2 linked regions of the Callithrix jacchus genome follow. The protein of the gene in region 1 interacts with the protein of each later gene in a pairwise test. Links are inferred from orthologs where the notes say so. Each region holds a gene or a part of one and is shown on either strand. Other genes may lie near its edges.

The links. The genes of interacting proteins can lie anywhere in the genome.
Region 2: the proteins of TNPO2 (region 1) and CAMK2D interact in binary tests that used the Homo sapiens proteins (3 or more experiments, as listed by UniProt). The two-hybrid records come from large-scale screens. The link is inferred for Callithrix jacchus from reciprocal best matches to the Homo sapiens genes TNPO2 and CAMK2D.

What each region holds. Positions count from the first base shown.
Region 1 is NC_133523.1:11,532,424-11,536,803, reverse strand, and holds part of TNPO2 (transportin-2), read left to right. Parts: intron 1-3,475; coding exon 3,476-3,582; intron 3,583-3,668; coding exon 3,669-3,802; intron 3,803-3,883; coding exon 3,884-3,965; intron 3,966-4,038; coding exon 4,039-4,161; intron 4,162-4,268; coding exon 4,269-4,380. UniProt on the Homo sapiens protein: Probably functions in nuclear protein import as nuclear transport receptor. Serves as receptor for nuclear localization signals (NLS) in cargo substrates.
Region 2 is NC_133504.1:83,419,311-83,424,402, forward strand, and holds the start of CAMK2D (calcium/calmodulin-dependent protein kinase type II subunit delta), read left to right. Parts: upstream 1-1,951; 5' UTR 1,952-2,176; coding exon 2,177-2,345; intron 2,346-2,477; exon of another isoform or gene 2,478-3,119; coding exon 3,120-3,207; intron 3,208-4,788; coding exon 4,789-4,883; intron 4,884-5,092. UniProt on the Homo sapiens protein: Calcium/calmodulin-dependent protein kinase involved in the regulation of Ca(2+) homeostatis and excitation-contraction coupling (ECC) in heart by targeting ion channels, transporters and accessory proteins involved in Ca(2+) influx into the myocyte, Ca(2+) release from the sarcoplasmic reticulum (SR), SR Ca(2+) uptake and Na(+) and K(+) channel transport.

The DNA of each region.
Region 1 (4,380 bases):
TACTCAGGAGGCTGAGGCAGGAGAAGTGCCTGAACCCAGGAGGTGGAGGTTGCGGTGAGCCGAGATCGTGCCATTGGACTCCAGCCTGGGTAACAAGAGTGAAACTCCGTCTCAAAAAAAAAAAAAAGAGTGACTTTTATTCCTGCAAAAACCCCTTCCCTGGCCACCAGAAGGATCTGGACTTTCTGAGCTCATTCTAGGTGCCAGGCACTGGGCTAAGTCATTGAAACTTCCTGATAATCAGGCCGGGCGCTCACGTCTATAATCCCAGCCCCTTGGGAGGCTGAGGTGGGTGGATCACCTGAAGTCGGGAGTTCGAGACCAGCCTGGCCTACATGGCAAAACTCCATCTCTACTAAAAGTACAAAAATTCACTGGGCATCGTGGTGTGCGCCTGTAATCCCAGCTGCTCAGGAGGCTGAGGCTTGAGAATCACCTGAACGCCGGAGGTGGAGGTTGCGGTGAGCCAAGATCGTGCCACTGCACTCTGGCCTGGATAACAGAGTGAGACTCGTCTCAAAAAAAAAAGCAAAAGAAAAGAAAAGAAAGAAACTTACTGCTAACCTTAGGAGGGTGGTTTTCTTGATCTCTTCTGAGGGCTGAAAGCACTGAGGCACAGATAATGAGGTGATGTGGCTGAGCTGAAGTTACACAGTCCTCAGTGGGTACCTACCCACCGCAGGGAGCACCTTTTTGCCATTTAGTTTCCACCTTTGGGAAACACTGCCATCTCCTGGCAGCAAATGTCTTCTCTGTACTTCACAGAATCCATTTCTGTCACCAGATTTGTGCACTGCCCTGCCCTGGCACCTCAGATGCTTGCTGTATGTAACTCCTGGATGGCTAATAGGCAGTACAAACCGTCCCTGCCACTTTCTTGCCCTTACCTCCTTTCCCTCTTCCCTCCGCCCAGTCTCTGCCCAGCCCCAGTGGCTCCTCACTCGTCTCTTAGCACACCACGCCTGTCCTCACCCCAGGCCTTTGCACCGTAGATTCCCCTGCCTGAGATGCCCTTTCCCAGGAACATGGATGATTCCTCCCAGACCTCCTTCACCTCCTTCAGGTCTTGGTTCAGATATCAAGATGTCACCTTAACAAGGCCTGCTCTGGCCACCCAATCTAAAGTTGCTACCTTCACCTACAGTCCTTTCTCACCATCTTTTCTGCTGTGTTACCCCTCTTAGTCCTTGGCATGTGGCCCCTCTCAGTTCTCTTTTTTTTTTTTGAGACGGAGTTTCACTCTTGTTACCCAGACTGGAGTGCAATGGCACAATCGCGGCTCACCGCAACCTCCGCCTTCTGGGTTCAAGCAATTCTCCTACCTCAGCCTCCTGAGTAGCTGGGACTACAGGCGTGCACCACCATGCCCAGCTAATTTTTGTGTTTTTAGTAGAGATGGGGTTTCACCATGTTGACCAGGATGGTCTCGATCTCTTGACCTCATGATCCACCCGCTTTGGCCTCCCAAAGCCGAAGGCACATGCCACCATGCCCAACTAATTTTTTTTTTTTTTGACATGAAGCTTCACTCTGTCACCCAGGCTAGAGTGCAGTGGCACAATCTTGGCTCAACGCAACTTTCATCTCCGAGATTCAAGCAGTTCTCCTGCCTCAGCCTACTGAGTAGTTGGGACTACAGGCAAGTGCCACCACACCTGGCTCACTTTTTGTATTTTTAGTAGTGCTGGGATTATAGGCATGAGCCACCACGCCCGGCCCTCTTTTTTTTTTTTTTGACATAGGGTCTTGCTCCATTTCAGGCTGGAGTATAGTGGCATGATCTTCACTTTAAACGATTCTCCTGCCTCAGCCTCTTGAATAGCTGGGATTACTGGCGTCCCCCACCATACCTGGCTAATTTTTGTATTTCTAGTAGAGATGGGGTTTCGCCATGTTGGCCAGGCTGGTCTTGAACTCCTGACCACCCACCTGGGCTCCCAAAGTTCTGGGATTACAGGTGTGAGCCACTGTGCCCATCCTCTCCCAGTTTTTTGGCTAATTTTTTACTTCATGGCTTGCTTCCCACTTCCAGGGGTGGGGGTTTTGTGTTTTGCTCTGGGCTGCGCCTCAGGACCTGGAACGGAGTTGGCTCACAGTAAGGCTCAGGGTGCTCACTGAGTCAAAGAGCACCCTTTCTACCTATGTCAAGGGAAGGAGCAGTCGCTAATGCCTGTAATTCCAGTGGTTTTAGAGGCTGAGGCAGGAGAATTGCTCGAGGCCAGGAGTTTTAGGCCATCCTGGAGAACGTAGCGAGATCCCATCTCTACAAAAATTTTAAAAAATTGGTCGGGTGGTTGGCCGGCTGCAGTGGCTCACGCCTGTAATCCCAGCACTTTGGGAGGCCGAGGCAGGTGGATCACAAGGTCAAGAGATCGAGACCATCCTGGCCAAGATGGTGATACCCCATCTCTGCTAAAAATACAGAAATTAGCCAGGCGTGCTGGCAAGTGCCTGTAGTCCCAGCTACTCAAGAGGCTGAGGCAGGAGAATTGCTTGAACTGGGGAGGTGGAGGTTGCAGTGAGCTGAGATCGTGCCGCTGCACTCCAGAGTGAGACTCTGTCTCAAAAAAAAATTAGGCGGGTGATACTTGGGAGTGGTGCCTCACACCTGTAATCCCAGCACTTTGGGCAGCTGAGGCAGGTGGATCACCTGAGGTTGGGAGTTCAAGACCAGCCTGACCAACATGGAGAAACCCTGTCTCTACTAAAAAATACAAAAAAGTTAGCTGGGTGTGCTGGCACATGCCTGTAATCCCAGCTACTTGGGAGGCTGAGGCAGCAGAATTGCTTGAACCCTGGAGGTGGCAGTTGTGGTACGCCGAGATCGCACCACTGCATTCTAGCCTGGGCAACAGGAGCGAAACCTCGTCTCAAACAAAATAAAACAAAACAAAAAAAATCCAGGTGCAGTGGCTCACACCTGTAATCCTAGCACTTTGGGAGTCCTAGGCCACATCAGGAGATTGAGACCATCCTGGCTAACGTGATGAAACTCTGTCTCTACTAAAAATACAAAAAATGAGCCAGGTGTGGTGGCACTTGCCTGTAGTCCCAACTACTCAGTAGGCTGAGGCAGGAGAACTGCTTGAATCTCGGAGGTGAAAGTTGTGTTGAGCCAAGATTGTGCCATTGCACTCTAGCCTGGGTGACAGAGTGAAGCTTCATGTCAAAAAAAAAAAATTAGTTGGGCATGGTGGTATGTGCCTGCAGTCCCAGCTACTCAGGAGGCTGAGGTGGGAAGATGGTTTGAGGCCAGGAGTTTGAGGCTGCTGTGAACTGTGATTATGCCACAGCACTCTAGCCTGGGCAACAGAGCAAACTCTTAATCTCTTAAAAAAAAAAAATGAGAGAGGGATATATAGGGCATACATGGGCTAGGGGACAGAAAGGCAGCTCTGGGGGTGCCCAGTGGGAGAGGGAGGTGCCGGGCAGCCCCCGCCCAGCCTCAGGCAGCGTCCTTTCCCGGCCGCCGCAGGGATTCTCATCACCACCATCGCTTCCAAGGGTGAGCTGCAGATGTGGCCTGAGCTGCTGCCGCAGCTGTGCAACCTGCTCAACTCAGAGGATTACAACACCTGTGAGGTGGGTGAGAAGCCATGGATGGCCAGAGCGGGTATGGGGGGCCCGGACCACCACCCACCTCTGTCTCTCTGTCCCTCTGCACTCAGGGAGCCTTTGGAGCCCTGCAGAAGATCTGCGAAGACTCATCAGAGCTTCTGGACAGCGATGCCCTCAACAGGCCCCTCAACATCATGATCCCCAAGTTCCTACAGTTCTTTAAGCACTGCAGTCCCAAGATCCGGTGGGTACAGCTTCCTGGGGGCTTCCAGGGAGCCTGGAGTGGGCAGAGTCAGGGGTGACCCCTGTGTCTGCTCCCCGCCAGGTCCCATGCCATCGCCTGTGTGAACCAGTTCATCATGGACCGGGCCCAGGCGCTGATGGACAATATCGACACCTTCATCGAGGTGGGCCGCTGGGCTGGGGGTGGGCAGGGCAAGGACCCAGGACCCTTGCAGCTGACCCTGTTCCTCCCTGCAGCACCTATTTGCCCTGGCTGTGGACGATGACCCTGAGGTGCGAAAGAATGTGTGCCGCGCCCTGGTGATGCTTCTGGAAGTGCGGATCGACAGGCTCATCCCCCACATGCACAGCATCATCCAGGTGTGCATGGTCAAGGCCAGCCCAGACAGGCAGGCAGGGGGCTGGTGGCAGGGGTCAGGGAGCCACCCCCAGCCTGGCCAGGCCTCAGCCTATCCTCCCCGCTACAGTACATGCTGCAGAGGACCCAGGACCATGACGAGAACGTTGCCCTTGAGGCCTGTGAGTTCTGGCTGACGCTGGCCGAGCAGCCCATCTGCAAGGAAGTCCTGGCCTCCCATC
Region 2 (5,092 bases), on another chromosome or scaffold:
AACTCTATTTTGTAACTATTCCTGAAATAATGTTGAAGTAGCATGCACCACCATGCCTGGCTAATTTTGTATTTTTAGTAGAGACGGGGTTTCTCCATGTTTGCCAGGATGGTTTCGAACCCCTGACCACAGATGATTCACCCTCACCCACCTTGGCCTCCAAAAGTGCTGGGATTATAGGCGTGAGCCACTGTGCCCAGCCAATTTGACTACTGTCTTAAGGAGGTTCAAACTTCAGAAATAACTAAATATTTGTTCAAATAAGAGAAATATTTTAATTAGTCTAAAATATAAATCAAAGAAAGAGCACTACAGATTAAGCAATGTTTGCTGTACAAAATGTACATTATTATCTAATAATATATCAGTATTAAAATTCAGTTATGTTTTCTTTATTGTACTGCACAATTAAAACCATTTACAATTATTGGTAGTTTAAATAACAGATAAATACTGTAATTATGTAGATATCATTACTTGAATATTTAAGAAACAATTTTCTTCCCTGATGTAAACTTTTTATTATCTTTATTTATTGTTTCAATTTTACTTTCTCTGTTTCATTTTTAGATTCAAGAAGGAATATTATTTCATTATCATTTTGGAGCCAATTGGTAAACAGTTCAGATATTAAAAATCTTTAGCCATGACCAAATTGCTCTTTTCTTTCCAATTTATAGACGAATTATTAATATTTAGAGACCAGGTTTCTTTTACACAGTTTTGGTATCATCGTTTTCTATAGCACTACAGTTGCTTCCCTTTTATGGCTGGAAATCAAAACACATACGAACTTCAATTTTGTTGTAATAAACGTTAAAATTTGTGAACATTTTTAGTACTTCAGTAAAAGCTTAGTCATTGGCAGAAGTGTCCCTCAGATCAGGAAATAAAGGAATTGGGATTATCTGTGACCACAAAGTAACATTAATTAAGAGCAGTCTCTGGGAGTACACAACAGCGCCTCTAAATCTTAGATTCTCTTGTATCTGCAAGTTATCTTTTATCTTTCAGCAGTGAAATTTTAAGTCCATGAAGTAATAAGACGAGCAAATTAGCATTAGGATTGCAAGGTTTTTATAGTTGCGTGGTATAGAACAAAAGGCAATAATTTGAAAAAGATCTTCCATAACGCTGTTTTCGGTCTGCATCTAAATTTGTAACTGCATAGTTTTATTAAAGAGAACTGGAGAGAGGGCCCAGAAGTTGTTCTAGCAATCGGCAATAACTTATCTACTTTAAACGTAATGCATACTTTTTTCCCTCCTACTTAAAACAATGGCAGATATGCTAAAGGGAAGGACACATTCTTGAACTGCTAAGTGGTTTTTCAGATAGCCATTTACGGAGTGCACTCAATTGCCACTATCTGGCCGAAAGCAAAGCACACACAACCTCTTCTTTTCCTTTTCCCTTTGCAAAGCGAAACAGGCTAGACATGTTCACGTGATGTGAATTACGTCAGCCCCCACCGAGTCGCGTGACCGACACCCAACCTTCCTACTACCTCGCCCCGTCAGCCAGAGTGGGAAATCTCGCGAGAACCCGTCTTACTATCAGAACTTACTGAGGTTACTGGGGAGTTACTCAGAAGGGAAGGGAAGAGAAGGTGTGGTTGAGTGGCGGAGTTTTTGCTTTCGTTCTTTTAACGTTCACACCCAAAGCAAAGACCTTTGGGGACTGCCAGGGTCTCAGCCACCATCCTGGAAAACAGCGGGGGAGGTGGGCCTGGAGGTGGCAGTCAAATCTTAAGTGAAATGTGGCTCAGGGCCGTCACTGCTCCTTGCAGAAGGGGCTGCGGGGGAGGGAGAAAACCTGCGCCCGGCGCTGGGGAGCGGGCGACGCAGTGAACGCTGCTGAGGCAGAGTTGCGCCCCGACAGTCGCCGGAGGCTGTGGGAAGGGTTGGGACCTTCTCTGAGAGCAAGGTACTGCCCACATCCGGTCCCCGCTGTGTCAACACTGAGCGGCGCGGAGAAGCCGTTGCTCTCCCTTACTCGGCCACGCCGAGGGTCGTGGCCCGGTAGCTGGCCTGGAGAAGTCCCTGCTGCCTAGCGCCCAAAACAGGGGCGTGAGCTTCCATGACCCTGGGCGGCGGCCTCGGGCCGTGCTCGAGTTGCCCCGCATCTTTATACTCAGTCAGTCCCAGATTGAGGAGGCTTCTGGGAGCGGGTTGAAATGGGCAACTGTGACGTCTCGCCTCATTCACCCAAACCTCCAGGCTTCTCCCCCGCACATCCTCCTCCATCCACCTGGTTTCTCCCTAGACGGGTGTGCTCGTGTGTGCGACCGAAGGAGGGAGAGCGAGAGATCCACGAAGGGACAGGCTTGGAGTCGCTAGAGGGAGGTGTGGTACCAGCGAGGAGGGGGCTTCGCCTGTGAGGGGTGCTGGCAGGCGGAGGGAGCGGCGGGAGGAGGCGCCGGGGGAGGAGACGGAGGCCTGGGGACGGCAGAGGAGGCTTCGCCCGAGCCGAGCGCTGTTTCTCTTGCCGCGCCGTCTTGAAGCCGCGCGGGCTCGTGAGCAGCGCGAGGCCGCCAAGGTGCTTGGCTTCGCCGGAGCCGCTGCTGCCCACTGACGGGAAGCCGGTCCTGGGCGCGCACGCTCTCCCGAGCTCCGGCGCGCTCCGCGCCTGAGCTTGCTGACAGCTGCCGCTGGGCTCCGGCTGTCCGCTCCGGGCTCCACGGCCTCGGCCCTGCTGCACTCCCCCTCCGCCCCCTCGGACTCCCTCCCCTCGCTTCTGCCCCTCCTGCCCCAGTGCGGATCGTTTCGCAACCGCTCGCCACTCGCCCCGTGCCCGGCTGTTTTTCCATATCCCGGCCCCCTCTTCTTGAGTACTTTACCCCCTGCATTTGGGGACAGGGACTGGAAGGAAAAGGGGCTGGTGGACCGTCCAGTGGAGAAGGCCCGCAGGAGGAGGCGGAGGATCGGCGGACCGTGGGGAGGAGACCCCACGCCACCCTTTCTGGTCATCTCTCCTCCCGCCCCGCCCCTGCGCACACTCCCTCGCGGGCGAGCTACTTTCGGACTAGGAAAGTAAGGGCGGCCCTGGGTGACAGCGCCGCGGGGCCAGTCCCGGGGTTAGCCGCGTGTCTGCTCTCTTCTCCCCCGTCGCACTCTCAGCCAGGGCACAGTCCGGACCGAGGATGGCTTCGACCACAACCTGCACCAGGTTCACGGACGAGTATCAGCTTTTCGAGGAGCTTGGAAAGTAAGCGCCTTTGCTCGGCATCTGCACGTCCCCTTTCCAGCTGAGGGCGGGTCGCGTTGCCCAGACCCACGGGCCTCCGTTGTGGGGCGAGGGAGTTTGGGAGAGGAGTGGGAGGAGGGCCCCTGGTTTGTCAGCTCTGGGGAAGGTGCTTAGTGAGGGGAGGGAGCACAGAAGGGGTAGGATCCTTACCCTGACTATGGCTCATTTTAATAGTCCCTAGCCCACCTTCTCCCGCTCCCCCACCCTCCTGCACTGAGAGACTTGGTGAATTTACGATCTCTGCAGTTGTAGCTGTCATCCTGAGAAGTGTGCGCGCGCGCCTGTGTGTAATATGTGTTTGGAGAGGAAATTAGAACCCATGTAAAATGCAACATAGATCATGTTTTCTGTAAATAGGGATGCCTCCTGGTTAGCCGGTGTGTGGGCTGTATGACCCACCTACTGATGAGAACTCACAGCCTCAGACGGTGCCATATTTATTGATGCCGAAAGTTCTACTTGGCATAGAGTCTATTTCGCATCCAGTAGTTGTTCTGTCCAGGAAAAGGGCCACCCAACAGGACCAGCCCCTTGCCCTATAGCCACTGTTATTCTTTGCACCAGATTACTCGCTCACCATCATTCTTCCTAGGAATTGCGTGTGCATCTTTGCATTCTCTAGGATTTATTTATATAGGCAGCGGAAAAGCCCTCTGGTGACTGAGAGCGCTCTTAAGAGTAGCCTAGCATTGTGTAAAGCCACTCCTTCACTTGACTGGCAGAACTATTTGGAGGTGTTAGGGAAGGAGACAGGAGACCCTACTGAGGACTTGTGCAAAGGAACCTAGGGGCCAAGCCGAGAATGCTGATTTTTGTAGCGTCGAACCCAAACCCAATTTCTCTTTCACTAATTTCGACTGTTACTTTTATAAAAGGAGTGCGTTTATATGTATGTTGTTGGTTTATACTGTAATTAAAGGAAAGGTAAATATTTTTTAAAGGTAATGAAAATTATATATGTATATATTGTCTGCTGTTAAAACATGGAGAATATGTCGGAAGAGCAGCTTAATTCAAATATCTCCCTTCCCCCAGAGCAAAACAAGGCATAGAGAAATCACTATACCAAGACTCGTTAAACCACACTAATGTGCTCAAGATTTATATTTTACTGAAAATAATCGCCATGTTGACTTATTTGGAACCACATTAATTTTTGTTTCCTACCAAAACAAGTAGGCAGCAGATATTTTTGCGGCTCCTCCTCTGCTCTATTCTGGGCAGGGTTTTTCTCAGAGCATTTGGTGCTGTGAGTGTGAACTGTAAAATATTTTCAGATTTCATGTGCAAACAAGAACGGTCATAATTGGCAGTTCCTTTCATTTTGTTGATTAATAATGTGTGCTCCCAGTGAAATGAAATTTACTTTTATTCTTCAACATTAAAGAAAGTATGGGTTTCCAGGAAGAATTGTTCATTTACTGGATATCACTGTACTTCACTGACAACACACTAAAATACATTAAAATGCTCAGATTTTATACATTTTTAATGGAATATTATATCTGTTATATTAATGACCTGCTAATTATTGGTTTCCAGGGGGGCATTCTCAGTGGTGAGAAGATGTATGAAAATTCCTACTGGACAAGAATATGCTGCCAAAATTATCAACACCAAAAAGCTTTCTGCTAGGGGTGGGTATTTTCAACCACATATATTGGTTAATTTTGTATTTGTGATGTTGATTATAGGTTATGTTGTATGTAAATATATCATGTAATTATAACAGAATTTTAGACTTAGGTATCATATTACATATTGAGATTATTTCCTTCCTGAATCCCTCTTGGTCTGCACAGTTTAAAAATAAATGGACAGATATAATTATTATTTGATGCATTGC